Macaca fascicularis: one gene and its partners. The protein of the gene in region 1 interacts with the protein of each later gene in a pairwise test. Links are inferred from orthologs where the notes say so. Each region holds a gene or a part of one and is shown on either strand. Other genes may lie near its edges. The genes, in order: ARRDC3, NEDD4L and OTUB2.

Region 1 (10,214 bases):
GAGATTTCTCAATTAACTAAAAATTGAACTACCATTCGACCTGGCAATCCCATTACTGGGTATATACCCAAAGGAAAAGAAATTGTTCTACCAAAAGACTCATGCACTTGTACATTCATTATAGCAGTATTCACAATAGCAAAGATATGGAATCAACCTAGATGCCTACCAATGGTGGACTGGATAAAGAAAATGTGGTACACATATACCATGGAATACTATGCAGTCATAAAAAAAGAATGAAATCATGTCCTCTGCGGCAACATGGGTACAGCTGGAATCCATTATCTTAAGTAAATTAACACAGAAACATAAAGCCAAATACTGCATGTTCTCACTTACAAGTGGGAGCTAAACACCGGATACATATGGACATAAAGATAGGAACAACAGACACTAGGGACTACTGCAGCAGGAGTAGGAAGGGTTGAAAAACTACCCATTGGGTATTGTGCTCACTACCTGGGTTATCAGATCAATCATACCCCAAACCACAGCATCACACAGTATACACATGTAACAATCCTGCACATGTACCCCTGAATCTAAAATGAAAGTTAAAATTTAAATAAATAAGAAAATAAAAGCAAAAATAGAATGGGTTCTCCGGTTGCTTAAAGGCAGGGGGTTGACTTAATGACTTTAATGGGTCTCTTCAGCCCTTTCATCCCTGGGAGAGTAAAATTTTTCAAAGTAGATATGCTATATAAGCTACATATGCTATATAAAATTATCAAAATGTTGTCCAGGAACGGTGGCCCACACCTGTAATCCCAGCACTTTTGGAGGCCAAGGCAGGCAGATCACTTGAGGCCAGGAGTTCAAGACCAGCCTGGCCAATGTGGCAAAACCCTGTCTCTACTAAAAACACAAAAATTAGCAGAGTGTGGTGACACAGGCCTGTAATCCCAGGTTGAATCCAGGAGGCAGAGGTTTCAGTGAGCCAAGATTGTGCCACTGCACTCCAGCTGCACAACAGAGCTGTCTCAAAATAAAATAGTCAAATGTTTGAAAAACATTTTTTTTTTAATATTTTTTGAGACAAGGTCTCACTCTGTCACCTAGACTGGAGTGAAATGGCACGAGCTCAGCTAACTGCAGACTCAACCTTCCAGACTCAAGTGATCCTCCTACCTCAGCCTCCTGAATAGTTGGGACTACAGGCGCATGCCACCATGCCTGGCTAATTTTTGTATTTTTTGTAGAGACAGGGTCTTGCTATGCTGCCCAAACTGTTCTCAAACCACTGGACTCAAGCAATCCTCCCACCTTAGCCTCTCAAGTTCTGGGATTACAGGCATGAGCTACCACACTCAGCCAGAAAATATTTTATTATAGCAAGTAAAATTTTACCCTCATTATACAAAGTTGTGCATAGTCAAAATTTATAAAATAGTTCAGAAAAGAAATTTAGCATTCCTAATTCTTTCTGTAGACAGACGCCATTTGAGCTTAGATGAATAAACCTTACCAACTCATCTTCTACATGATAATATGCACTGTCATAGCTTAACTGGCAATGCTTTTCTTTAGTTGTACATCTAGATGAAAATACACCAAAATGTTAACAGTGGTGTCTCTGAATGGACAGACAGTAGAATTATGGGTGATTTTCTTTTAATCAAGAAACAAAATATAACAGATTAAATGGTGTTCACATAACACAAATTACACTATTTATTAATGAAGGAGAACAGAATCCAAATTTGATAGTAATTTTCATCACAAAATCCATAACATATATAAAAGTCTATTAACTATGAAGAATATAGAAAACGAATCTACTCATTTTGCTAATAATAGCAAATCTTCTCTCCAGTCTGCATGCCAAATTTGCTGCACCATGAGAATATTAAAGAGTTAAGTCAGAGTTACAAAATCTCCAGAGTTAAGACCAAAGGGGAAGAAAAAACCCTTAGTTTCATAGCACTCAGCCTATCAGCTGCTAGTTAAAATACAGTAAGCATAGATTTCATATTTTTCTTTATGAAACAGATTCTGACTACTGGTAGGGTTTTTTTTTTGTTTTTTTTTTTTTTTACAACCAAACAACAAAACTTCCAGTTGAGATGGCTTCCTTTTTTTAAAAAAATAAAAATATTGAGCATGTTGATATAATATGCAAAAAACTCCAAACTTGGCAGTAATCTTGACATATCTCCTCAATATCATACACCTTGATAGCAATGATCATTTATCAGTCTTTGATAGAGTTCTTGAGATTGAGTTCAAACTTTAATATATTAAGGTGAAAGAGCCATTTGACTCAAAAGCCAAAAAGCAAATATGAAAAGAGATTCCTACTTAAGCTCTGAAGAAGCAATGAAAGGGGGATAGGAAGTTAGTTATTCAGTCTAGTTGGAATTTTACTCAGTTGTGCCAACTGCATCTAGTGGAGGGATTAGAAAAAAGCAAAGGAGATAACATAGTAGTGGGATGTTATTCTGGGCACCAAAAGCACGTGTAAGTGCACACTGGCAACAGTGAGACAAGCTAACAAAGGGGACAGAAGATGTACTTGACAGGAATATAGAAGAGTTAGCAGATGAGTAGGCGGAGATGGCATATGAGACGTAGGCTGGGGAGCAGTAGGAAAGAGCCTTGGTGGTAAAGACAAATAGTTTAAATATAATACAAAATACAATAAGGGCCCGGTGAAGAAAGCTGAGAAGCCCAAGATAATGTCTACAGTACAGCATTTCAAGCTGTCTAAGAAGTAGATATTTAGACAAAAAATCTGAAAGGGGGAAGTTATGAAAGCAACAAGAGAAAACATTCAAAATCTGGTCCAAGTGTTTTTGTTTTTCTTTTAAGAAATGAAAAGATAAAGAGAGACCAGGAGCGGGCAGCTCAGGTCTGTAATCCCAGCACTTTGGGAGGCCAAGGCAGGCGGATCTCTTGAGGCCAGGAGTTCGAGACCAGCCTGGCCAACATGGTGAAACCGTCTCTACTAAAAATACAAAAATTAGCCGGGGGTGGTGGTGCGTGCCTGTAATCCCAGCTACTCTGGAGGCTAAGGTAGGAGAATCGCTTGAACCTGGGAGGTGGAGGCTGTAGAGAGCCAAGATTGTGCCACTGCACTCCAGCCCAGGTGACAGAGTTGAGACTCCATCTCAAAAAATCAAAATGAAAATGGTAGCTGGTAAGAATTTCTTGGAAATTTGCCAGTTACCTAAGTATTTAAGAAGACACAGTAAAAAGAAAATTTAAAAAATAGCAAAATAAATAATAAAGACAACTATTCAAAAGATCCTGAAAGCTTCAAACACAAAGAATAATGTACTATACAGTAACAGGAATGAAACATTTAATATTTTAAAACAATTTTCCAAACTACAGATAAATTTCTTAGAGTTCTGTTTTATTAAATGCAATTCTGGTGTATTTAATTCTTTTTTCTGAAATAAGTTATATTCTAATTAAATAAATTTTACTAAAAAAATCTGAATTCAGCTATTGTTCACTAACCCTTAATAATTTTTAACATAAAGGTAGACACAAATGTGCAATGAATTTATGTATTCATTGTGGACTACACTTTTAAATCCATTCCTTGCTCAGTGGTTTTTGAATGCTTATTAAGTATCATTGACATTATGCTGAGGAAAAGCTGTCATTCTAGGAAATTCACCACTTCTACCACTAGGTGGAGAAAAAACACAAGTAGTATCTGTAATCAAAGCTAGTACAAGGACTCAGGTACTTTACCTAGAATTTCCACCAGGTGTCAACCAAGAGGGGGGGAAAAAGATAAGACTGTTTTTTCCACTTAAATATGCAAATTTATAATTTTACGCATAGCGATCTAAACTCTGAAATAAATGGCCTGCTCATTGTCTAGTTTGCATATTTATACTTTTTATATATTGCTGTTGAGTCCAAGATACTGCCTTGTCAACTAAAATCCAGCCCCCAAAAGCTTAGTTTCTTTTGAAATAAAGAAAACAGCAAGACCAATAAGTTTAGTTTATTGTGACTCATAGGTTCAACCTACCCAAATACACTACGCAAAAGAATCTAAAATGTTTAGACACGGACAGCCAAAAATCTTCCAAGGTATTTTTGTTCATACATATATAGAGAGAGAGAGATAGCACCAGATTCATATTTTTTCTTTCTACATTTCTCTTGTAAGGCAGTTCTGTTGATTGCCAGTAATCTAGATGAGTTTATGCTGTTATGCTCTGAATCCCAGTGTGATGTGACGAAAGCACTGCTATTTTTTACCAAACATTCACAATAAAAAGAGAAATGTACCTATATTTAAGATGTATCATGAGAATTACTACGTTAAATGGTCCAAGGCTCTTTCGGCCGAAAATTAAAGCTTCACAGTTAACCCCTATTTATATACCAAATCATGCTTTTTAAAAACAATTTTATGCGCTTCACTAATTTCTAACAAAGATTTTCCGATTCTGTTGCAAACAATATGTCAGCTAAACCACTATGTCCTATGCCTTTTATAAGATGGTACTTTTTTAGGCCGAACTCTATTCTTATTCCTCTGGACACAGGAGTTGTAATCATGTCTTACTCTGCAAATCTAGCCGTAGGTGGTGTCTTAAAAAGGACTTTTTCTTCCTTCGAGGAAGTGGTCAAGCTTCCCCCCAGCCCCCACCCGTGTCATCCTGGAAACAACTTGGTTGTTTTTCGGTGCTATCTAATTAAGCGATGTAGGAGAAAGAAGTTGAGGAGACAAAAAAGCCTATTGATTACATTGTACTTGCTTCTCTACCTCGCTCTTCAAAGGACTAAGGTTCCTTTGACCTCGACTGAGTTCATTTCCACCCTGCCTACAAAGTACTGGTTTAAAAAATATATATATATATCCAAGCCAAGTATGCTCTTGTCTATGAACAATACTTCTTGTCCAGTTTTATTACGTTTTCTTTGAAAATTCGTTAGATTATGCTCAACAATCGGCCGCTTGCCCAACCGGTTTCTCCCTTCCCCCATCTCTCTTCACACATCACTTTTTCCTCCTCCCATCCAGGCAGTTGGTAAAACGCTGCAGTGCCAGTAACGCACGCTTTGGGGTGGTCACTGCAGTTTATCCTTACTTGGCTTTGCAAACTCCCCACCCAGGCCTTGTCCCCTCGCGCCCCACTCTGCCATTATCTTTCCAGTAGAGTGTGCTCGGTAAGGGGCTCCAGATAGCACGTCGAGGGTATACGGCAGCCTGCCTACCAATAGGAGCCCACAATGAAGAGAAGTCAGGTTCAGCCGGCCGGCAGCTCCAGTATCTCCTTCCCCTAACTCTACACCTACTGTACCCGGGAGCGAGCGAGCAAGGGAGGGAGCGAGCGCGGCGCGGCGCGGCGCGGGAGGGGGCGCGCAGGGAGGGCGGACAGCAGCCGCGGCCTGCGCTTGCGCATTGGGGTTGTTTTTCACAAAGCTGCTCTTAAAGTGAGCTGGCAGCCTTTAGCCGCCCGTCTTTGTAAGGAGACCACTGAGACGAGCGGGAGCGCGGAGCAGCAGCTTCTGCTGCCCTGACTTTTTAAGAAATCTCAATGAACTATTTGTAGAGAATCACTGATCCGGCCTGCAAGCATTTTGCACGGCAAAAATATCGATCAGTGTTAAGTGAAGATCACATTTTATATGCGATCTTGACTTTTTTGTCTTACATTATATTTTTATAGATTTTGTTATAAACATGGTGCTGGGAAAGGTGAAGAGTTTGACAATAAGCTTTGACTGTCTTAATGACAGCAATGTCCCTGTGTATTCTAGTGGGGATACTGTCTCAGGAAGGGTAAATTTAGAAGTTACTGGGGAAATCAGAGTAAAATCTCTTAAAATTCATGCAAGAGGGCATGCGAAAGTACGCTGGACTGAATCTAGAAACGCCGGCTCCAATACTGCCTATACACAGAATTACACTGAAGAAGTAGAATATTTCAACCATAAAGACATCTTAATTGGGCACGAAAGAGGTAAGTTTTTCTGTTATTCAGAAGTCATTGGACTCATTTTCTTTGGAAACGTACCTTTTCAGTTTTCTGAATTAACGTGATTCTACTCATAGTATAACTAAGCAGTTTGATAAAGGTTAGCAAAGTTGGAAGGTTTGGATTCTCCTTGACGTTCATCGTGTGTTAAGCCGTAATGCATGCAGGCATCTGCAAAGTGACTGCAAACTACACTTATTCAACTACCTCTATACCCGGCTTGGTCTGTGCCATACGCGCTTGTAGTCCATTTGCACCTTATAAATTCTGCTTGAATCCAATGCAATCGTTTTACTAATATATTTTCAAATGAATTGCTAAAAGCTGCAGTCTTAGATTTTTGCCCTTTTACTTGCAACCTAAGATGTAAAAACTAAACTTCAATCAAGAAATGTAATAACATTTTTAAGAGGCTTAATGGGCGTGTTTCATTTTTAATTTTGGAATGCAAAAGACTTTAAAGAATTGATCACTGTGCTTTCATAAAAGGTTTATGTGGCTTATTTTGACATATGGTATCAACACCCCACGTGTTTTTTCTCTATTCTTTCCCATTCCTTTAAAAATTTACACCCAGCATTCCTTATTTTAAAGGGTACTGTCTGTCATTATGATAGGTATCGAGTCAGTTTTAGAAGCCATTTAGGATCAGTAATTTTCTTTTCCGAGCATCATGTCTAACTTTGGAACGTGCATTCAATGAAACCCATGCCAGTCAAATGGAATTGAAAAGTATAGGGCACACTGGATTTGATTTTTGGTTAGAAGAGGGAGATAAAGGGTTGTCAAAGGGAGAAGGAGTCCTGAGATTTCCAATCTATTGTTTAAGTGGTTACATTGTGGAAATATAGGAGAGTCTAGGCTTGTTTTTCTAAGTTTCCACCCTTTGTTAGAAGCGGTTCAATCCTGTTTCGGACCAGTTCTGGGGGGTGGTGAGGAGGGGCGCTTGTTCTGCTCTCAGCAGATTGGTTACACGCGTCAGGTGGTGGCGATGACTTAATTCCTAGCCCAAGAAGAATATAATGTTAAAACTGGTTATGTAATTTTTGTGCCTCTCCTTTTTAATGCAGTATTTAGTTCAGATGTTGGCGATTTTTCAGAAAAAAATTAGAGCCATATTTTACCTTCTTTTTTATATTAAAAACGTACATCCTGGAGAGGTGCTGATGACTGAACTAAGGCAAGTGAGAAATGAAGGATGCTTTGAGGGGCAGTATTAATGCATGATTTCTGAAACTATTAAGGTGAACTCAGTTCTTTAGTAGGATTTTCGTAGATACAGGTACTTTGCATCCTGAAATAACTAATTAATGTCTCCAAGCGTTAACACTGATAGGAGATGCAGATGCCTAATGACAGTCTTGGTATTTGTTGAAAAGCAGATAGATGAGTTTGTGTTTCTACCTTTCTGAATATTGCAGCCTTTTATGAAATGGGTGAAAGAAACAGATTTTTCTTCAAGAGGTTGAGACTTGCAATGGGAGAAAAGTAGAACAATGAGTTGTGAGGACAAATATTTCATTAGTTACACCATGATTTCATGGTAAAGAAAACTAAATGCCCTGCACCCCCAACAAAATGCCCCCCCAAACCCTGCAACGCGTAGACGAGCTCAGTCTGGAATAGTTTCAATGACTTGAAACTGGGAGCTCTCAAACTAGCCTGGTAACTGAGACCCCGCCCCGGGCGCCCGGGATAGGCGGAGCCAGGTTTGTTAGCCTGTTGCTAAGGCGATGGCAGGCGCTGATTGGATTGGGCGCGGGCGGGTGGGGAGAGGGGGCTCGCGCCGCTGCTGGGGCGAGGCTAGGAAACCGGCGTGCGCCGGTAAAGGTCCCTCCAGAGCCACCCCCACCCAGTCCATACTCACGTTTGTTCCCGGGCTTCTGGGGGCGCCCGGCCCGTGTCACATCACGTTCTATCGCCCCTCTTTTGGGCCTGCTAAGGACCATCGAAAGGAAACGACTGCAGGCTTTAGCTGAGTTGAGGGCAGACGCTCCTGCCGGCCTTACAGGTGCCGGATGGCCCGGGACCCAACTTTAGTGGAAAATCCTTTTCAGATGGAATTTGGATGGGAAGGGTTGGCAGGACCCCCGTTAGCTATCTGCCGGGTAGGAGGTGTCAGGGGACTCCTGTGAACGCTTCTGAAACAAAGCGTGTTCCCCGACCTCTCCAGTCGCCACACTGGCTACCTTGAGTTGACCTGAGGGGACAGAGCAGAGGCTGGCCCGGGGAAGAAAGAAAATGATTCCAATATCGAAATCTAGGTGGGGGCTTCGAAGGGTATCCTCTGCCCCCTCCCCCATTGTTTTCCGAAAGCTTCAGGCCCCCGCCTCCCCTCGGCCGCCCCAGTTTCCCTCGCGGAAACTAAAGGTGTCAGAGTGGCCCGAGCCAGATCGAACCGGTCGCCGGCTGGGGCGTGTAAAGCGGAAGCGCCGCGGCTCGCTCGCCCCGCCCCTCGTCCAGCAGGCTAGGTTGTGCGGGCACGGGCGCGAGCGCCGCGCGACGTATGCCGTATGTATAGCGGGGCGCGCGGGCGGCGGCGGCGGCGCGCGAGCAGGCCGGCTGGGATCTGCTCGCGCCGGTTTAGGCCGGTCCTCTCCTGCTCCGGTCTAGTTCTTGATTGACAGCCCGGCACTTGTTTACCACTGCGCGGCCGCCGCCGCTCGCCTCAATGAGACTGCTGAGCTGGCACAAAAAGGGAGCGAAGAGGGAAGAAAGGGAGAGGAAGGCGAACTTTGGGCGCCTTCGAGGGGAGCGAATTTAAATGGCCCCCAGCTCATCAGCTAGTTTTTGGTTCTGAAATCTGTTCAGGGGATTTGCACAGGGGACGAGGAAAATTGTATGGAGACATATGCGAATTACCGTGATTTTTAAATAAAAGTATCGACGTATACATGCTTTTCCCCCCTTTTCTCGTTTGATATCAGGGAGGCATCACGTTTTTTGTGTATATTCAGTACTTTGCTGAAGAAAAGTTAAAATAATATGCCAGTTTTTTCTACTCTGGGGGCTAATCGTAAAGGTTTCTACACCGAGAAAACTAAAAGATATTTCTGTAATTATTTAGAACGCTAAATAAGCATTTTAATTATCTAGAACCCCCTCCCATATTTTCGATTATATTTCTTTATTTTCATGCCACTTGAAAAACAAATTTGACCCAAAAAAATGGTTGTAAAATGAAAGGTCATTCCTTTTTTATAGAAACTGGAAACTGTTAATAATTAGACTTCATCTTCTTCAAGAATGTCCGACAATATTGTTTCCTTATAAGCAGGCACCTCCTAAATGCGGTTCTTGGTAATGATCTAAGGTATAGTTTATGCAAATTTTAATCGTTGCTAGGACTGAGTATTGTGATCACTTTAGGTCAATAAATAATTATTTTTAATTACAAAACTGACATTAAAATCAATGTGTGTGCTCTTTTTTTTTTTTTTTTTTTTTTTTTTTTTTCTCCATCTATTTGACAAAGTTTTCTAGTGGTTTTGGAGTATCTATTCTATTCACATCTTTGGCATTATTCCCCCTAAACTGACATATTTTTAAAAGGGTTGCACGAACAGTTTTTATTTGATACATTGTAGTCTTCATGCGATAAATTTAAGCAAACAGCTGGAGACAAAGATAACATTATCTTACCATGATGTGAGACCCGAGCCTTTTGAGTATATATACTATTTTATCAACAGATGCTTTACAGTTTGGGTCATTTTCCATTTAAAAAATAAAAGTCTGTGGGGTGTGAGTATTCATTATCCCCATTTTACAGATAAGGCAGCTGAAAACGGGATTTTTATTTCGTCCAGAGGAAATGATGAAGTTAGAATTAGAACTCGGCTCTCTCAGACTCCAAAGCTTGTTTTGTGGTCTTAATTATTATGTAAGCATCTTTAAAGTTATGCCACCCTGCGGAGTATGTAAATGTCAAATAATAAATTCTTTGTTTTCTTTTTATGTTTCTTTTAGATGATGATAATTCCGAAGAAGGCTTCCACACTATTCATTCAGGAAGGCATGAATATGCATTCAGCTTCGAGCTTCCACAGACGTAAGTATTATAAATAATAGGCATTTTTATACATACCCATGATCAGAGCATTACTTTAAAATTAAGTATTCTAAATTTAAACACTTTTAGTTAAAAAAAAAAAAAAAAACCCTTTTCATGACTGGAACTTGCTAGAGGAAAACAATATATTAAACATAAGAAGCTATTTTTTAATCTACCGTGGCAAAATTATAGAAAGCATACTCAAA
Region 2 (10,114 bases), on another chromosome or scaffold:
AGGAAAGATAATGAGTACAGGAGGAAGACAGTGATTTTTCAGCTTTCACACATCATTCCCCAGAAGGAGAAAGGCCTGAAATATCTTGACATTTCCACCCACACCTCCTCAGCCCCTGCCAGGAGACAGAGTAGGTGAGGGAATGGGCATCACAGGCCGAGGGCCACATGTTGAAATCTGCTCCTTGGGGAAGCTGTCATTTAAGACAGTCGAACTTGCATACATAGTGATGACTGTTTAAGCTTTTTTTCCAGCATTTTCAGGAGTAGGGGGAACTGTGATGTAACCATGATGTTTGGAGAACCCTCATGAAAACAGGAACAAACAAAAAATAATTGCTGGGAATCACAGACTTTCAGAAATAGAAGAGCCGAGTCACGTCTGTTCATCCAGTCAAATCCTTCCACTTAACAGTGAAGAAACTGCTTAGTAGAGAGAGTGTGTTGCAGAGCCAGCTGATGAGATCTACCCGAGAGTTCAGGCGTTCTAACGCTGGCAGGGGCAATGGAAGGAAGTCACTTTTTTAGTTCCTATGGGGTCTTTTTTTTTTCCTCATGGCACTACCACGGTTTATTCATTGATTTCCAATTACCTGTTGCTCTCAGCGGCTTGTGAGCTCCAGGAGGGAACTGGGAAAGCTACCTTTGCTTTATGTACTGTTATGTTTCTGGCACCTAAAATGCCTTGCACAGAGTAGGTGCTCAAGAAGTATCGGTTGAATGGATCAGAATGAACACCAGAAAGTGGGAAATAAACTAGAGAGGAAGTCTTAGTTTGTGACGTGATGTACTGTTGGTAGAGCAGAAAACATGATCTCTTTATTGGCTTATGTTGGAACATTGTATTCTTTTTCTTATTTCGGTGGTTGTCCAGTTATTAACAAATTTATACCTTGCCTAGACTCAGAATTGCTATGTGATTTCATCAGACTAAACACTGCCTAAAATAAATAGCATGTGAGGTCAAATCTGTTGTTCAGTGGAAAATCAAAGAAGACTGGCTTAAAAACTAAGAAAAGACCATAGGCAGTATAAATTGTCTATGGATTGCTCCTAAGCTATATAAAGATGGTGTATTTATTGCTCTTGAATTACAGAGCGAAACACTGACATGTTCATTTTCTGGAAGAGTGGTGGTTTGTGTTGTTTCGGGTTAGTTTTTTATATAAACATGTCTTAAAACTATAAAGAAGGGAAGTTCGTGTTCTTCATTTCTTCTCTTTCTGGTCAAGATAAGTATGGTAAAAGTGTAAGGTTTGGAGTCTGGAGATATCAGACTAAGCATCAGTATATTTTGTTAACTTAGGCCAAAATGATAACAGCAGAAGTATTCTCTGCTGAAATTCATACTAGTGTCTAAAAAGCAATGAGTTGTTTTCGAGGCTGTCATAGTTAATATCTCTGTATATACAAAAACCAGTCCTTTTAGCTTCATAAAAATATCGTTAGGCTTTTTCAGTAGCCAAAAGTCAGGGCTCTGACTCTTAAGATACTATAAGCCACTTTACAACATAGGAAATAAAGATTATTTAAATGACTATATTAAGATGTTACTCCTTTGCCTGAAGAGAAATCACAGCTTTTGAATGAGCATAGTTAATTCCTGAGCCCTCAACTGTGGTACCATCACTCTGTTTCATAGATAAAGCATTTGAGATTTAAGAAATCCTTGCCCAAGACCACTAAATATTAAGGGACAAACCTTCTGACTCCTAAATTGAGGATTTTTTGAGAATGCCATCTGCCTGATTTTATACTCCTTGATAGGAGTGTCAGTTCACTTCCCTTTCTGCTCATTGTACTTCCCCACAAAAATTTGTTAAATCATAATTAGACTTTTCCAAATGCCAACATAGGTCGTTCTGGGGTTGTATGTTAAAAGTATCTAGCCAATAACTGTCACCTAAACCACAGCAAAAAAGAAAAACAGAAGCACCCTGACTCACATTCTGACAAAAGTCACTTGGAAACCATGTTTAGTTTGTGCAGCATATCCCTAAATGGTTTCCCAAATGCAGTATAGCTGTTTTCAGGGGTGAAAGCCACACTCAAAGCTGATTAGTCCTCATCAGTTCTAGGACTTTCCCCTGTGCTGTGTAGACATGATCTGATTTTTCCATGGATAATCTGAGAAGTGAGAATTTACGGTTTATGATTCATGAAATTCTCTTGAATGTTGCCTAAGTATACATAGAATTTCAAGTGTATTGTTTGCATTATCTATATTCATAAATTTATCTTCCAGGCTGTTCCTTACTCCAGAGAGTTTAAGCAGAAATATGACTACTTCAGGAAGAAATTAAAGAAACCTGTGAGTAATCATGCCTTCCAAAAATGCTTTGTGTTAGTCATTTGTAAGTTACCACAGTTACTTCAGTGAGAACAACTTGGTTGTTACTTTTAGATGAATGCTAAAAATATTACCTTCCTTTTCTCACTGCACTTTGATCCTCCTGGTTCTGAAATCTGAATTTTCTTTTTAACAGAAATGGTAAGTGAAGATTAACTCAGTATTATGTATCAAATCACCTGAAGGGTAATTTCGTATGTAATACATAAAAAGACAGGAACGATTTTTATGGGATATGAAATAATTCAGAACCCTAGTCGCAAAATCTGGGGAAACCCATTCAGTTATGCACAGTTATCATATTTAATAAACCTGGATCCCAGTTAGAAAAATGTTCAGGTCCTTCCTTGCAAATGCAAAAGCTTAGTTTCAGCTACAATATTTATAATATAAAGTTATATTTAATTATAGTAATTGGCAGTACTAGGTGCAAATGTAATTTTCTGCTTATAATTGTCCCTGGCAGTTTCAAACCTAGAAACTCTAAAAATTTTTATGGGCAGTGTTTTAAATTATAACATTAGATTTTCTAATCACTCACCACCCCCAAATTGTTCAACATTGCATCTTCTGTTTTACTTTCCAATTCCTCCTTAGCAGTTTTCTCTTTGGTTTTCTCCATCACTATGGTTACACCTCTAGGGAGGGGGGAGAATCAGCTGCAGCTCAGACCCCCTCCGGTGGCCTGGGCTCTGTTGCCATTTCTCCCTGCCTCCTCCCCTCAGCCGGTTCCTCCTGCCCAGGACGTCTCTGGATGGGGCACAATCTCTGATCTCATTTAGGAGTTTTGGTCTCTGTTCCAAAGTCCTGATTCAAGAGCTCATGGATAACTACTATTGAAATGATTATTTGCCTTCAAAACTTAGATGAATACTAAAAATTCCACAATTTTCTTTGTGAGTCACGTCCCCTGGTAATGATAATGACTTTGTGGTCATCACCCAGGCTCTCTGACTCTCACATAGCAGTGTCTGCTACCCGGAAAACATCTCTGCAGTTTCATTCTTACAGCCAGACCAAGCCTGGATTGCCTCTTTGCAGGAGGCAGCTGCCGCAGCCTTGGTCAAGCGAACCATGCTTTGGGCTGCTTTCCCCACACTTGGCATAATCAGGGTCCCGCTCCCCATGGCTGCAAAATGGACTTGAGGCACCGTGGATTATATCTACCACCTCGCGGCCCTGCCAGAGTTGAGCATGGCCCCAGCCTGGCCAGGTGGGGATTATTACAGGTTTTGATTACCTGGGCTAAAGTCTCTTGAGAGAAGCAACAGGTACAGTTGACTGCCTTTCAGTTGCCATATGCTGGAGGAGTGCCCACAGTTGTTTATTAAAGGGGGTGAGGAGGCTGTTCTCCTTCGCAGCAGAGTTTCTGACTTTCCTGAGCATCGCTAGCGGATGCCGTGTGTCCATCGTGACACAGCGAGGCTTTCTGTCTGCAAGGGAAAACCCCTGAAGGAGAGACTCTCAATTGGAACCATTTGTCACTGCTCGTTTCTTTGAGGACTGCCAACTTTCCTACCCTTGGTTGTTGTTTTTATTAGAAAACAAAACGTGTATTTACTGTGTGTGTTTTCTTTTGTCTTTTGTGTAGGCTGATATCCCCAATAGGTTTGAAATGAAACTTCACAGAAATAACATATTTGAAGAGTCCTATCGGAGAATTATGTCCGTGAAAAGACCAGATGTCCTAAAAGCTAGACTGTGGATTGAGTTTGAATCAGAGAAAGGTCTTGACTACGGGGGTGTGGCCAGAGAATGGTTCTTCTTACTGTCCAAAGAGATGTTCAACCCCTACTACGGCCTCTTTGAGTACTCTGCCACGTAAGTATATGGCCACACCCAGAGTGTGTCCCCCACTGAGACAGTTGTATGAATTTAAACAGAATGAAAGAATAAGCAGCTCACCAGTTCAAGATGCAGTAAGTCTGTTGAGTTTATTCTCTCCTCACCCCACAGCCCCTTGCAAGTCTAGAACAGGTTCTGACTCTACCTGGTGAAATAGTGTACTCTGTGAACATCTAACATTGATTTTTTTTTTCTTATCTAATGGGTTCATGGAGTTGAAATTGAAAACGTGGATAATTGTGGTAAGGAATAGGAGGCGATTTTCATTTGCAGTGTTCAAAAGGAGGACTTGTCAGTGTTAGAATGCAAAAACAAAAAGGTGTTTTTTGAACAAGAGTTGTTTCCGAGGTCTCTGGGTAAAGGCAAATTGTAAGGACTTTGAGGACCTAGGACCATGCCCTGCTCCTGTGAGGAAAGAATCAGGTTTCCCCTTGCATTAGGATTTCATCATTGCCAGGCTTGGAAACTGAGGCAGACTAAATTGCTTTCTGAGCAACCAAAGATCGGCTACTTCCAGGCCAGCCATTCCTTCTTCTGAATCCTCCAAGGGTTAGGCTGGACCCAAGCCCTCAGTAGAATAGTCACTGACCTTGCTGAAGGGTATTTATCATCACTTTAACCCTGGGCCCTAAGGGGACGTGGGTTCTCCCACATCTCCCATGTGGTACCAATCTCCTGGGGGCTCATTTGGAAGGCAACCTCAGTGCATTCTTCTCAGTTGCTCTAGCCAAGAATTGCCCAGTTGGTCTGTTGTTATTATTACTGAGTCCCATGAGAAAGCCCACTATGGACAATTTATCCAACTACTGAAGGTGGAGGGCAGGGTGGGGAGAGACAAGATCTTTACCTCTCCTCCACATTTTCAAAGATACCCCCCTGGAGGAAACTGTCTGTGACCCCGGTTGAAAACCACTGATCCACATAATTGTGAACCAAGCAAGGTCATTTGGACAAATCTAAACACTTGCAGGTTTGCCTCATTGAGAGAGCCATATCCTGTTCCTAATCCCCTTGAGGCCTTTTCAGAGCAGAGTAGTGGTCAGAAGACAGACCAAGGGTTGGGCCCATAGCATACATCTTATGGCCAAGCCAAAAGCCTCTGGAAGGAATTAACCTTCCTTTATCACAGACACGACCTAAAGTACCCACATCATTGGGAATGCCTGCACAGCCCCTTTATTATGTGGAGTTTCTTATCTCCCCAAGATATTTGGCTGAACCATAGGAAATAGACACTTTGTGGATCAGAAACAGTCAAACATCAGCAGTTTCTTATGGTTTAATTGACTTTAAAGTACACATGCATCAGCTTCCATGGTGGGTCATGGTTGAGCAGGTGGTAAGTCAGGTCCTCTAGCCCACACCTTTTCCCACTAGGTACAGAATGCTTGCAAGGACACTGTAGAAATTGAGTGACAGGTGGCAAAGAAATATGCAAAATCTTGCATTTGAAAGTGTGATTGGTCTTTTCTTCTCTTTCTCCTCAAAAGGGACAACTACACTCTTCAGATCAACCCTAATTCAGGCCTCTGTAATGAAGATCATTTGTCCTACTTCACTTTTATTGGAAGAGTTGCTGGTCTGGCCGTATTTCATGGAAAGCTCTTAGATGGTAAGTCTTGAAGTAATAAAAATAGGTCAGTGCCGCTTGTGGTTTGCTGGTAGGTGTCTTATCTTTTGCATCATGAGTTTTTAAGCAAAAGCTTCACTGGTTTACTCATAAAGTATTTTTATGTTTCGCCCATAATGGATGTGCTTTTCTCTGGTAGCTTATTTTGGGCACTGAAGACATAATGTCTACACACAGTTAAAAACAAAAGTTTTTTTTTTTAACTTCATTGTAAAGCACAGAACATTATGTATTTATACATTTGTATGTTTTCTGGAATAACTTTACTGAAAGCAAGATTTGATAACAGATGGAAAAACTAATTGAAAAGTTAATTAAAATGATCTCATCCATCTAATATTGTGTGATTATTGCATTTGTCCCCAAATTATTTTTTTAATTTGAAGGGACTAAATAATTTCAAAATAATGTTACCACTCAGCTAAGACATTAACCCTGAAACAAATAACACAAAATAATTTCATTCTTATTTAAAGCATGTAAATCATGGAAGAATTTCAAGGTACCTTGAAAGTTAGAAGTCAAACCCTCTACCTGGCATTATCTATAGGCTTGGAGACTTCTAAAAGATTTGGCCAATTCAAAATAGCGTCCTTAAGAAAACACTACAGAAATCATCAGTAAGGAAAAAGCATCAGAAATATTTTTTAAGAGCTTGGAGGTAGAGTGGTTGAGGATGGGAAGAGGGAGAGTAGAATTTGAGATTAACATTGCAATAACTTACAAGAAAGATATTTCCAAGGGAACTGTGTTCATTGCATTTATGGAGCCCTAGCTATTCTAATAAATAATTTGTATACCCTCTGTACTTTTCCCATGAATATGTTTTTACTGTTAATTGGTAGCTGATATTGATGCTCTGATTGTAATGCTTTATTTGGTGGGAGGGTGACAGTAAACACTTTTTTTCCTCTAGAAGGAAACTAAACCACATACTCTTTCCATGTATGTATAGTGTGAATATATTTTAATTTCCAGCTTTGTAGTCTTGCCACAGATTATTTCAGCCTGCTCAAATTCACTCTAACTTTCTCAGAAGGTCAGTTTAGTCACCATATGCAAGTGAGAAGATGCTGTTAGTTGCTACAGCGTCTTTAATACTCTCTATAACAGGGGGTATTAGAGAAGCACAAGATATGATCCTGACCTTAGTCAGCTTATATTTTAGTGGGGGGAAAAGAGATGAGAACAAAACCAGAAGAATCACAGTGATAGTGTCCGAGCAGAAGGGAACACATTGAGTCCTCAGAAGAGAAAGTGACTTGGCCGGCGGCTCGGGGAATCTTTCCCAGGAAGAGCTACACCTCGGAGGTGGGGTAGCATTTGAGCATTCAGAGGCTGGGATCATTTCAGATGAGTGAGGACTGGCCCAGAGTCCAGGCTCTGTGGAAGGAGATGGGCAGAAGCAAGAACCAGGGTCTCTAGGAGCTGGCTAAAGTGACCCCCATGAGAGTGATCACGATATAAACCTGGAATTGCACATTTAACAGTCCACGTGCACATAGATGGGCCTAGTCAGCAGTGTCTTCAAATTTCCCACAGATGGGAATGTCCCTGTCGGCAGGGCTCATTCTGCACATCTGTCCACTGCGCCCCCTGGTCGGCTTCATGCTTTTACTTCCCCAGACAATGGAGTCTGTTGGAGCCTTTATGGGGCCACACTGAGCCGGGGAGAGTTGGCCTGTGCTGCAGAGGGTTGGTGCCTGGTGGGCGGATAAAGGAGCAGAAGCAGGAGCCTGGGGTGCCAGGTCTGGTGTGGTCAGGGCCCCCTTTGAGGAGACGTGTGATGCCTTTAGATCAGGTCAAATGGAGGCCCCTGCAGGATGCCTGCATGGGGGGAGGTCGACCTCGCTGCTGTTGCCTACCTGAGGCCTCTGCCATCCCTCCCCGGGAGGTTACACAGGCCCTCTCCGTGGCCTCCCCCATTTCCAACCTGTCTCCTTCCTGTGCTTTCTCCCCATCGCTGCCCGAGCAATGATAACAAAAGACAGATGGAATTTCACCTGGTCTTCATTGACTCACCACTGCCCTCAGAGAGCACCCCAACTCTCCAGCACCCCATGTGGGCTGTGCACTGCCGGCCCCTCCTCTGGCCTGTCTACCTGCCCTGGCAAACTGCTGGCGAGTCCCCAGGCTTGTGGCTCTGCTTAGTGTACCCTTTTCTTCCCCAGTTCCTATGCCTGATTTGCACTGTGGACTCTGCTTGACCTTGAAGCTCATCTGTCACCTTCCAGAGGCCTTTCTGGCCCCACTCTGCTGCGCCATCTCTCTCAGCGCAGCCGCCCTCCTCTTGCCACTCTCCCCCGATCTCGCCGCCTCACTCGTGCAATACTGCAGAAGGCCGTTGGTTACTCCATCCTGGTTTCTCATTTACATTGAAAGCCAGTTAATCTTTTCTTTCATGCTCTGATAACGTAGCAGTATCAAAGACCTGAAATTAAACCCAGTGTTTACCGTATTTTAGGTTTCTTCATTAGACCATTTTACAAGATGATGTTGGGAAAGCAGATAACCCTGAATGACATGGAATCTGTGGTGAGTAAATGCAGGTCACACACTGGCCATCACCAGGCACTTGTGTCTTATGGGAAGGTATTGGAGAGCCATGTTTGTAGTCTCAGCCACTTCTATGGGTGTTGCATTCCATGTGAACAACAGGAGACATTTAATTGCTTGAAAAGTTCATTGATCTGTCTAATTCTTGTAATAAGTAAATATTATTGTTCACATTTCCTGGGACCATGGTACCTAGGGTGGATACATCCAAATCCCAGTTGCCTCTGCTTACCCGGCACAGGACTCGTGTGAACTTACTAAATCCAAGAGACAGCTGAAGATCTATGGTAGCCTGTGTTTCCCATAAAAACTGCTGCTACTGAATGTTTAGAGCTTCATCCACTCTCCCTCTGTTTCCTGACCTCATAAAAATGGTAGAGGCAAAGGTCAAAACAATAGGAAGAATATCAGGCAGACATCCTAGACATGGATGAGTGACGCCACAGCTCAGACAAGTGAACACTCGAGACGTTCTCCAAGTAGTGATTTGGGTTTTCATGTTGCATTTAACATTAATTTTACCTAGACCATTTTAGAGTTGGAAGGATTTTTTTTTTTTTTTGAGACGAAGTCTTGCTCTGTCGCCCAGGCTGGAGTACAATGGCGCGATCTTGGCTCACTGCAACCTCCGCCTCCCGGGTTCAAGCGATTCCCCTGCCTCAGCCCCTCAAGTAGCTGGGATTACAGGCACACGCCACCATGCCCGGCTAATTTTTTTTTTTTTTTTTTTTTGTACTTTAGTAGAGACAAGGTTTCACCATGTTGGCCAGGATGGTCTCGATCTCCTGACCTCGTGATCCTCCTGCCTCATTCTCCCAAAGTGCTGGGTTACAGGCATGAGCCACCACGCCCGGCCAGGATTTTCTACAAAACAAAAATTGATGTTCTTCTTATAATATACTTCCGCTTCTCTTTTTCTTTTAATGTACCTATACCCCACATCTACCTCCAGAGTGTATGCGTGTTTGCCCACACACCAGCACACACATGGGCCACTGGGAAGCGTGTTTGTCCATTTGGGGCATTTGCAGCACATTCGTGTTTGCTCACTTGAGTTAAAAAGCCCCATGACGTCACCTGGCTGTGATACCAGCTATATCTTGGGCACGGTTGGGTAGATGAGCTGTGTCCTCGGCCCTGACCAGTGCTGACTCAGTGTTTCTGTTCCTCCTCGTATGAAAGGAGAGGAAGAGGCCAGCAGTGCCCTTGAATCCGCCGCTGGTTTGCCAGTCATGGTGGGTTGGGTGCACACCTGTGATTCCAGTCTCCATTTTCACCTTGTATTTGTGCTTTCTGCTGCTTCATCATACAGTGATGAAGAGCATAGCATACATCATATATCATAAAGAGCATAGCAGTTTCTCTTAATGTCTAATTTTATACCACATGCTGACAGTTAGTGCCTAAAATACAGTGCATGTATTATTTTTACCCTCTTCACAGCCCGTCGTGTCCCCAGCAGGAGAGACCGTGGAGGGACCAGGGACAGGCGCTTAGGCCTGTGACTGCTCCTCTGGATTCTGAAACCAGAGCGGCCACCCTTTTTGCTGACATTAACCTGGAGAGTGATCAAAGTGCAGGAAAGAGGATAACTTAAAACTATTGGTGTTTCTTAGTTGGAACATTATTTTACTTATTTATTTTTTTGGAGATGGAATCTTACTCTGTTTGCCAGGCTGGAGTGCAATGGCACAACCATAGTTCACTGCAGCCTCCATCTCCTGGCACAAGCAA
Region 3 (10,114 bases), on another chromosome or scaffold:
CATCTGGGACCCCTGGGGCCCTGGAGCTAGCCCAAGGTTCCATCACCTGCACCTGCAGATGGAGGTAGCCCACCCGTGAGACATTTGTAAGCAGGGGTAGCTCTTAAATAGTGTGGAGTAAAGGGAAAAAAATCTCCAGAATATCTATAGACTAATATTATGCAAACTTAAAAGGCACGCATACTTACAAGTCTGTATTTTTTTTAAAGGCAGATGCATTTCATTTATACGAGGTACCTAGAGTAGTCAAATTCATTAGAGACAGAAAAGTAGAAAGGTGGTCGCCAGAGATTGGGGGCAAGGGGATGGGGAGTTAGTGTTTAATGAGTAGAGATTCATCATAAGTACGTGGAAGAAAAAAATGGGTATGGGAGTTTCAGTTTGGGAAGATTAAAAGTTCTGGGGATGGATGGTGGCGATGGTTGCACTCTTGTGTGAATGTACTTAATGCCAATGAACTGTGTACTTAAAAATGGATAAAAATAATAAAGTTTAGGCTATGTATGTTTTACTATAATCATAATAAAAAACAAATATATCTAGAAAGACATGCCATAGAAACTACCTATAGAGGCAAGGGGGGATGGAGGAATGGAAATAGGGATCAGGGATGAAGGGGACCAAAACCTGAAAAAATACCTTCCTGAGGCTGGTTTCCACAGCATGTCCTGAGAGTATGGTGAGCTCAGCTCTTAGGAGCTGAGAGGGCTCTGAATCGCTATGTAGTATTTTCTTTTCTTTTCTTTTCTTTTTTTTTTTTTTTTTCTGAGATGAAGTCTGTTGCGCAGGCTGGAGTGCAGTGGTCCGGTGGTCACGGTTCACTGCAACCTCTGCCGTCTGGGTTCAAGTGATTTTCCTACCTCAGCCTCCCAAGTAGCTGGGACTACAGGTGCCCACCACCATGCCTGGCTCATTTTTGAATTTTGAGTAGAAACGGGGTTTCGCCATTTTGGCCAGGATGATCTTGAACTCCTGACCTTGTGATCCGCCTGCCCCGACCTCCCAAAGTGCTGGGATTACAGATGTGAGCCACCACACCCGGCCCTATGTAATATTTTCCCTTAACTTGGCTATTTTAAAGAGCTTAAGTAGATTTGTCAAAAATGCAAAGTTTATGTTAATAGAGCAAGTGGAAACCTAACTTGACTTTCCTGGCATAGGTGCCACCCTTGTTCCTAATCCACCTTTAAATATTCCTCATTTTAACTGGTTTTGTTTGTTTGTTTGTTTGTTTGTTTTTTGAAATGGAGTATCGCTCTGTCGCCCAGCCTGGAGTGCAGTGGCATGATCTCGGCTCACTGCAAGCTCCACCTTCTGGGTTCACGCCATTCTCCTGCCTCAGCCTCCCAAGTAGCTGGGACTACAGGCACCCGCCTCCACATCCAGCTAATTTTTTGTATTTTTAGTAGAGACGGGGTTTCACCGTGTTAGCCAGGATGGTCTCGATCTCCTGACCTTGTGACCTGTCTGCCTTGGCCTCCCAAAGTGCTGGGATTACAGGCGTGAGCCACCACGCCAGGCCCCCTCATTTTAACTGTTGATGGCAGTTTTCTGCATTGAAGTACTTATCTCTGCATGTTGAAGATTAATTGCTTAAATCCATTCCACTCCTCCGTTGATTACCTTCTCAGACACTGCAGAGGAAATGTAACAGATTTTGTGTCCTCCTTCCGCCATTTTGGTTTTGGTTTTGGGCAGTCCACACACCAGCAGTATTAAATATAGTTGTTCTACTGTTTGATCTATGATTTAAAAAGACCCAAGCCACCATTTTAAGTCAGCTGTCTATAAAAACAACAAGACTTTTATATAGTATAAACAAATTGTTAGATAAATAATGAGACTTTGAAATGAAGTCAGAGCATGAGTGCAGAGCAGGTGCGCTTGCTTTTCAGTATTACCTGTTTGTCCTTCTACCATCGACGCAAGGCAGCAGAGAGCGAGCTTTCTTTCTGAAACGTACAGAATCCTATGAATATTTGCTGTATTAGCACGCAGTTATGAGTGCCAAATTAATTGTACAACTAGCAATTGTTATTATGCTAGTAATGTCAATCTTTCATGATTTAGAATAGACAAAAACATGTTAACTTTTTATAAATTTGCCTTTGAAGTCAATAAATCTGGCTTGGTTTAAGTTAAAAGAAAAAACACAAATGAAAATGGAATGATTTTAAACTCCGAGTCAGAGGCCTGCCCAATCTGGAGAAGAGAGACTAGCAAAGTAGAAAGGAGTTCAAGGTATGCTAGAGGCTGTCTTTCTCCTTGACACGATTAGAAGACTTGAAGGAAGTGGAAAGGCAAATCACTTTCCTTCCAGATATCACTGATGTATTTTACCGCCGTGTCTGGATATTGCCTGTAAATCGTGTCCTGTTCCACCTGTGATGAGCATCTCTTGGGCTTGAAAACTCTGTTGTGGACACTGAGCCCCCAGGATCAGAAGCTGGATGGAGAACTTTCCTGGGGGAGGCCTCAGGGGCAGGAGGTCGGGACCTGGCCTGTTGATAAGAAGGCCCTGGGCTGCCCTGCATGGAATGTCCCTTTGTGTTTAGCAGCCTTGATCCCTCAAGACCTCTGCGTTCTGCCTACCTAGCAGTTTGGCATGGTAGAATTTCCATGGGCTTCAGAGTCAGATAGATCTGCCTAAAATTGCTTCTTAGCACAGGGCACGTGACCTTGTCAGTAGAATGGGCATAATACCCATCTCAGGAGGTAGTTGTGAGGATTCAGTGAGATAATGGGGACATGTCAGCCTCTCTCCCCGAGCCTAGCACATAGTATGTGCACAATAATGGCACCTGTTATCACCTCATACCTCTTGGGCCTAGGGTAGCAGATCGCCAGATCATCTTCCATGTGTTGACTTTCAGCCTCACACTCGCAGGGTGGCTGCTGTAGACATTGCATCTGCACTAACGGCGGGAAGAAGTAAAACACTCCCATCTCTGTTCCTTTTATCCAAAACCAAAAGCTTCCCCAGAAGTCCCCAGCAGACTTTTCATGGGTCCAGCTGGCCAACCTCAGCTACCTGACTGCCCATAGCTGCAAGGGAAGCTAGGAAAATGGGAAAGAGGTAGGATTGTTGTGACTTACCCAGTCATTTTTCATTGTGTTGTGGGATTCCATTAGTGGGGAGGAAACGGGTCGCGGCTGATAAGGCAGAAGCCCTCGGCACCTGCCCCCAAGTGTTACCTGATTCCTCCTGATGGTTTTCCTGTTGCTTTGCCAGCCCGCACTATGATGTCAGGGCAGAAGGAAGGAAGGAGTCTGGGGCTGGATTAATTTAGCAAACAAGGGTGGGTACAGCATGGAAGCTTCTAGAAGCAAAATCCAGAATCCCTTCTTCCAACCCCCCAAGTGTTTGCATGCCCTGTTTCCACTTTCGGAAGCATTCTTCATCCAGTTCTTCTTCTTTTTTTTTTTTTTTTGACAGAGTCTTGCTCTGTTGCCCAGGAGTGCAGTGGTGCGATCTTGCCTCACTGCAACCTCTGCCTCCCAGGTTTCAGAAATTCTCTACCTCAGCCTCCTGAATAGCTGGGATTACAGGCACGTGCCACCACACCCAGCTAATTTTTTTTGTATTTTTAGTAGACACGAGGTTTCGCCATCTTAGCCAGGCTGGTCTTGAACTCCTGATCTCGTGACCCACCCACCTCAGCCTCCCAAAGTGCTGGGATTACAGGCATGAGCCACCGCGCCCGGCCAGCCCATCCAGTTCTTTAGGACAATGGATTCATCCTCTGTTTTTAAGCTTTCTTCTGGGAAGTTGCCCTGAATCCCATGTTTGGGGGAGATCATGTTTGGTGCCACCAGAAAGGGAGAAACGGAATAAAGTGTAAGTTCAAGGGAGAGCCCAGGACCGACTCAGATGAGGTGAGGAGATCAGGGAGGCTTCATGGAGGAGGTAGCTTTTATGCATTTGTTTGAAGAATATCTCACCCCCTGCTCTGTGCCAGGCCCTTGGTGAATGGAAGATGGCAGACAGTATGACAAGCTGTCATCCAGGCCCCCTAAAAACACCCCTGCCCAGTCCCAGCTTCGCCCCTGACCTGATACTGGATGCAGGGTCAGGGCCAGATGGAAGTTTGCAGTCTGTCCCATGTGGAGGCAGGAGCAACAAAAGTCATTGAGGCCTCATTATCCAGTCTCATGGTCCAGCTTTCTGCTTCTGTGTGCTGAGCTTTGGAAAAAGCTAATCATCCAAAATCCAGATCTATTTCTTCAGGTGAAGAAAGGGGTTTGTAGCGTCAGAGGACTCCTATCTGAGCAGGATGGTATTGGGTTGAGATCATTATCTAGTCAGCGATGAGGCTGAGAGGCTACCAGGGAAGGCCACTGTGGCCAATGTGACATGAAAAAGGCCAGTTACAACTGCATGTCAACAATGATGGTGATAAATGGATGGAAAACTAGATTTCTATTTACAAAAATCCCAATTAACAGTGACCATCCACAGTACTCTATTGCATAAAAATGGTCTCCTCTGGTTGTGTGCAGCAGCCAGCCTCACTTGTTTTAAGCTATAAACTGTAAGTGGCTTTAACACCATTTCTCTCACAGTATGTTCATGCCGCAATCAAAGCGGCTTTGGGTGGGTTGGAGGCTAGAGATGCAGCTCTCGCTTGTTTGAGCCCTGCTGACAAGATAGCACAAGGCGGAGACCAGGCCCACGGGGAGCTGGCTGCTAGAACGAGGTATCTCCTGCAGTTTCCTTCACCCCGAAGCTTCCTTTTGCAGTTGCCTCCTCCCGGCCCGCCAATTTCTTCGCAGGCCTGGAGAGACCCTGCCTGTAGGAGGCTTGTCTTTCTGGGTTGGAATTGAGCTAGACCTAGAGCTGGGTTGTAGTATAAACTTTCTCCGCTAGGTGGTGCATGAAGATGCCCTCCCGCCCTGTGCTCCCTGAGCTCAATCTCTTGACACCTTCCCTGGCATCTCCGTGTACCAGTGCCACACAGTGCGGCCTCTTCTGGTGACCTTATCACCCCCTATCTTGATTGTTTTTCTCTGTAGACTGTGAGCCTTGTGGGTGGGGGAGTGCTAGACGTTCCTCCTTCTGTATTTCCAGCATGTGACACAGTGCTGGGCATGTGGATGTTCAGGAATTGTTGGATGAATCAAAGAATGAATGAATGAATGCATGAATGAGAGAGGAGGGACGGAAGGAGACAAAGGGCCTTATCCTCAAGCCTGAAGGCTCATTAGGTTCGAGGTACACATTCTGTGAAATGAATCAGGCTTCAATAACAAGATGAGTTTCCTTATAACCAGGGCTATCTCTTCACGATGGCCCTGACCCTGACGATCCCTGTCCTAGAAATGTGGCGATCCCAACAGGCGTCTAGGATGTTGGTAACATACTCCCAGCATGAGAAGGTAGGAAGGTCCCATTCATTGTTGTCTGTAACTGGCAGTTCAGAGGCCACCAGCTTGCGGAGTCCCATCCGTTGCTTTTGAAATTGTCACAGTATTTCTTCCTTCCCTATCTTCCAGAGTGAAACATCTTTCAACCTAATATCAGAAAAATGTGACATTCTATCCATTCTTCGGGACCATCCTGAAAACAGGATTTACCGGAGGAAAATCGAGGTGAGGCAGAGGGCAGGGAGAAAAGCATCCTAAAATAAACAGGCTGGAGTTGGGAGTGTAAAGGTGATGCCTCTTTGAAGGCCAATAGTTTGGGCCAGGTTCCTGGGCAAATGAAAGGATTCCTAGGATATTTCGATGTTGGACATTTGCCTTAGCAATACATCCTTTCATTCCAAAAAAAAAAAAAAAGGATTTTTTGTTTAAAAGTTTAGCACTATCCTAATGTTTTATTTACTCACTGAGACTTCACTACAACTCTGTGAGGTAAGTACTTTTATTACGCCCATTTTACAGCTGAGGAAACTGAGGCACAGAAATTAAATTGTGGCCATTTAGCTCATGAGTGGCCAAGCTGGGATTTAAATCCAGGCAGCCGAGTCTCAAGCCACATTCGTAACTGCTGTGCCAGGAGACCTCTTGGAGGGAAAGTGTACTCCAGTGAGGCTAAAGGGATTTGTGGGAAGGCTGCAGGGATCGCTCACGGAGCGGTGACCCGTGGGTAGCCGGAGGAGCTGGGTACCCACTCTGTCCCTCTGGCAGCAGGCCCCGGCTGCTCTCTGTACTCTGCAGGACTTCCTTTCACTGCAGGACAGGCTTGCTCTGGCACTGGCCCCACAGGCCCTTCTCTTTGAGTTCCTCTCAGACACGCAGCACCATTGCTGGACCCCGTTACTTATCCTCAGAGACTCTGATGGGTCCAGCTTGGGTCAGATGTCCATCAGCAGCCAGGGGTAGTGGTGTGGGCATCATGTGATCGGAACGCCGCTGCAGGGGCACTTCCAGGACAGGAGCTGGGCTCTGCAGCCCGCTGATTTTCGTGTCTCCCGGAGCCCTCCTGGGAGAAGAGCCAGGGGCTCCAGAGAGTCCCTGCCTCCCCACTGCCAGCTGGCCTCAGGTGGGCCCAAGTCAGCTCTGAGCCTTCTCATGGCTATGGGGGGAACACGAACTCCCAGACCCCTTGAAAACCATCCTCTGCTGTCAAAACACTGCTTATAGTCCCATGAGGCAGGAAAGGGGATTCCAGGCCAGTTCAGAGGGACACCTACTTATTGCTAGGAGTGGAGCTGGAGCCTACCCCTCCCTCCCCTGCTCACACATGCAACCCCCCAACCCCTACTTCTGCTGGCTCCCGATTCTCTGTGCTGCTCCCCCAGGAAGGCTTCCCCAACTTCCAAAAGCCAGTGCAATGCCACTGCCCTGTGGCACCCAGCCGTGCACTCCTTCTGTCCTCACAGTGCCACTGTCTAACTATCTATCTTCCCTCCCGGACTGTAGGCTGCCGGGGGGCAGGGACGGACACACAGGACAATGCAGTGTATTTTTATATCAGGGGGATGAACGAGGGTGGGAGGCTGAGGGGATAGCAGCCTGAAGGGAGGGAGCAGGCATTTCCTGGGAGAGATGGGGGGCACCTGGCTAGTCCCAGCACCTAAACCACACAGAGCTATTATTGGTGCAAATGCCCACATTTCTTTCTGTCCCCTTCAGGAACTCAGCAAAAGGTTCACCGCCATCCGCAAGACCAAAGGGGATGGGAACTGCTTCTACAGGGCCTTGGGCTATTCCTACCTGGAGTCCTTGCTGGGGAAGAGCAGGGAGATCTTCAAGTGAGTGCCGGGGCCCCTTGGGCTCTCAAGGCTATGTTCTCTGTGCTAGGTCAGCCCCAAGTCTCTCGGAGGTTTTTGTTACACTCGGGCTGGTTAACCCAGAGAGTGAGCTGAAGGGCTGCCTGGCAGAGGCGTTTGATGTTGGGGGAGCCCAGCTGCCTGCTGTGGTGGAGTTGGAGGCAGCCAAGGGGTGGAGGATGGAATCTGTGGCCTCCCAGATGCTTTCCAGCCTCTGCTTCCACCACAGGCCTGGGTCAGCCCAGGTAAGTCGCGTGGAGCAGGTGCTTCGTGACCCAATCTGAAAAAAGAAAACACGAACAAAAAGAAGCTTTGCCCCGGTGTTCGGCATAATTCCTGTTGACCTTGGTTTAGAGTGTGTGTGACCCAGGCATTCAGCTGTCTGGGCCTGGCCCTGAGGTCATGCTGGAGAAGGTCTGTGTCCAGAGCTGCCCCTATCCTCTCGGCTAGTTCAGGGTTTCTCATACCTGAACATTTGTACAAGGCCCCTGATTCTCTAGTCCATAGCAAGATACAAAAAGCAAAGACAAACAAACCCCTGAGACCTGGCTAGGACGCAAATTCCTGTTCAGGGGGAGCAGGGCAGAGCCGGGACTGCTTTCGTCACTGCCTCCCAGGAGATGCTGATGCCGCTGGGCCTCAGACCACGCTTTGAGGAGCAAGGAGCTAAGAGACCCACCTGGCTCTTAACCTTTGGGGGTCTCAGAGCCCTTAGAGGCTTTGGTGAGGGCCGTGGGCCCTCCTCATCTGAGACCCGCACCCAAATGCCCTCTGGAAACAGTACGGGGGGCAGTGGGTCACAGAGCACTTCTTTGGCTAAGGCAGGTTTCTCACCAGCGGCATGACTGATGTTGTGGGCTAGATCATGCTCATGGTGGGGGCTGTCCTATTGTAGGCTCATTAGCAGCATCCCTGGCCCCCACCCATGAGATACTAGTAGTAACCCCTTCCCCAAGTCATGACAATCAAAACTGCCTCCAGACACTGCCAAGAATCTCCTTTCGGCGGAAAAAAAGTTGACCCTATCTGGTTGAGAACTACTAGGTTAAGGCCATCATCTCCTGTTCAAAATATAGATGATCTCAAAGAGGGTAGAAGTTGAGCCATCTATTCCTTGGCTGAACCGTTCAGATTGTTTCCCCAGTGACAGACTGGCAGAGCCCCTTATGATGAAGAGTCAGCTATCTCAAGCCATTCCCCTCCCCAACTTTCTCAGAGCCCTGTGGGAACCAGCGCAGCACAGTGCAGGGATTATGACCCCAACGTCATTTCCCTATGACCCATGTGCCCTGGAGTTGTGCCACGCAGCAGCCCTGGGCTCTGAGGTCAGACCTCACTCTCTTGCTTACTTGCTGTGCCACCTTGGGCAAGTGACCTGACCTCTCTGGTCCTCAGTTTTCATGTCTGTGGAAGGTGGACATTATAACACACTTCAGGATGCTACTGTGAGGACTCAGTGGGTGATGCTGGTCAAGCCCAATGCCTGCATCTCTCTCTGCACCAGCCCACGTGCTCTGTTCACCTTTCCTCTGTCCTGTCTCCCTGCTCGTCAGCACACACGGGTGCCATGCTCAGACCCTGCTCTAGGCTGTGGGGATACTGCAGTGAACAAGAGAGACAAAAATCCCTGCCTTGTGGGGCTTGCGTCCTAATGGGAGAAGATGGACAGTACATGAGTATCATGTTTGAGGTGTCAGATGGTGATAAGTATTGTGGGAAAAATCAAGCAGGAAGGAGGCCGAGGAGTGCAAGGTCTGGCGTTGTCTGTTTCAAGTAGGGTTGGAGAGGTAAGGGCGGCAGGGCACATAGCACCTCAGGCCTTTCTAAGGACCTTGGCTTTCAGCCTGAAGGACGCGGGAGCCACCGAAGGATTGTGCAGCACGGGGACCTGCCCTGCTGGCTGCTGTGTGCAGGACAGATGGGGGCGGAGACACGGCCAGGGAGATGTGGTTGGCGAGAGATCCAGAGGAGGAGATGGCCGTGGCGTGAGCAGGTGGATGCAGTGGGCATGGCAAGAAGTGGGCAGGTCTAGACACCTGTGGAGGTGGCAAAGACAGGATTCGTGCCTGACTCACATGTTGGACATGGCAGAGTCAAGGATGGTTCCCAGAGATTTGGCCTGAGAGTTAGCAGGATGGAGAAGCCGTTTGCTGCAAGAGAGGGCTGAGGAAGATCAGGAGCTGTGTTTTGCGATGCTGTCTGAAATGTCCAGGAGTCATAGAGTGGGGGTGTCTGGTGGGCACTGGAGGTATGAGGCTGGCGTTCAGCAGGCAAGCCGGGGCACACAGGTGGTAAGTCAAACCACAAGGCTGCATGAGACCACCAGCATTTTCTCTTCCTTTTTTTAAACATTTTCTTTCTCTCTTTATTTTTTCTTAAGAGATAGGTCTTGCTATGTTGCCTAGGCTGGCCTCGAACTCTTGGGCTCAGGCGGTCCTCCCTCCTCAGCCTGCATCTTCTTACACAAAAACCGAGACCATGTCACTCACAGGCTTGAAATATGCTCCTGACCTCTAGGAGCAGTGGAAACCCCTGACACCAAGGCCCTCCACACCAGGCCCCTGCCCCTCCTACCCCATTGCCTGCCCACCCTGAGGTCTAGGCACAAGGACCCATTTATCCCACACATACCAGAGCTTGTAGGCATGACATGCCGCCTGATGCTGCCTTGGCCTAGGTAGCCCTGCCTCTGACCTGGCTGTGGGTTCTTCGGGCCCCAGGCAGGTTGCTTCACTCACTCCTCTGTAGCTCCTTTCCCCAGCTGAACAGTGGCCATAGCCCTGTCATGGACATTAAGTGATTGACTCGTGAGTACTTGGAACACTGACTGGGGTGTTCTGTGCTAGCTCTGATTGTCTGCATCATGCATCCTCCACAACCTGCTGTCTCCTTGTGTGCAG

Evidence for each region.
Region 2: the proteins of ARRDC3 (region 1) and NEDD4L interact in binary tests that used the Homo sapiens proteins (3 or more experiments, as listed by UniProt). The link is inferred for Macaca fascicularis from reciprocal best matches to the Homo sapiens genes ARRDC3 and NEDD4L.
Region 3: the proteins of ARRDC3 (region 1) and OTUB2 interact in binary tests that used the Homo sapiens proteins (3 or more experiments, as listed by UniProt). The two-hybrid records come from large-scale screens. The link is inferred for Macaca fascicularis from reciprocal best matches to the Homo sapiens genes ARRDC3 and OTUB2.

What each region holds. Positions count from the first base shown.
Region 1 is NC_088380.1:95,374,129-95,384,342, reverse strand, and holds the start of ARRDC3 (arrestin domain-containing protein 3), read left to right. Parts: upstream 1-5,434; 5' UTR 5,435-5,659; coding exon 5,660-5,939; intron 5,940-8,962; exon of another isoform or gene 8,963-9,267; intron 9,268-9,923; coding exon 9,924-10,005; intron 10,006-10,214. UniProt on the Homo sapiens protein: Adapter protein that plays a role in regulating cell-surface expression of adrenergic receptors and probably also other G protein-coupled receptors.
Region 2 is NC_088392.1:22,602,788-22,612,901, reverse strand, and holds part of NEDD4L (E3 ubiquitin-protein ligase NEDD4-like), read left to right. Parts: intron 1-2,244; coding exon 2,245-2,310; intron 2,311-3,940; coding exon 3,941-4,170; intron 4,171-5,684; coding exon 5,685-5,806; intron 5,807-8,288; coding exon 8,289-8,359; intron 8,360-10,114. UniProt on the Homo sapiens protein: E3 ubiquitin-protein ligase that mediates the polyubiquitination of lysine and cysteine residues on target proteins and is thereby implicated in the regulation of various signaling pathways including autophagy, innate immunity or DNA repair.
Region 3 is NC_088381.1:162,048,282-162,058,395, forward strand, and holds part of OTUB2 (ubiquitin thioesterase OTUB2), read left to right. Parts: intron 1-5,493; coding exon 5,494-5,589; intron 5,590-7,077; coding exon 7,078-7,196; intron 7,197-10,114. UniProt on the Homo sapiens protein: Hydrolase that can remove conjugated ubiquitin from proteins in vitro and may therefore play an important regulatory role at the level of protein turnover by preventing degradation.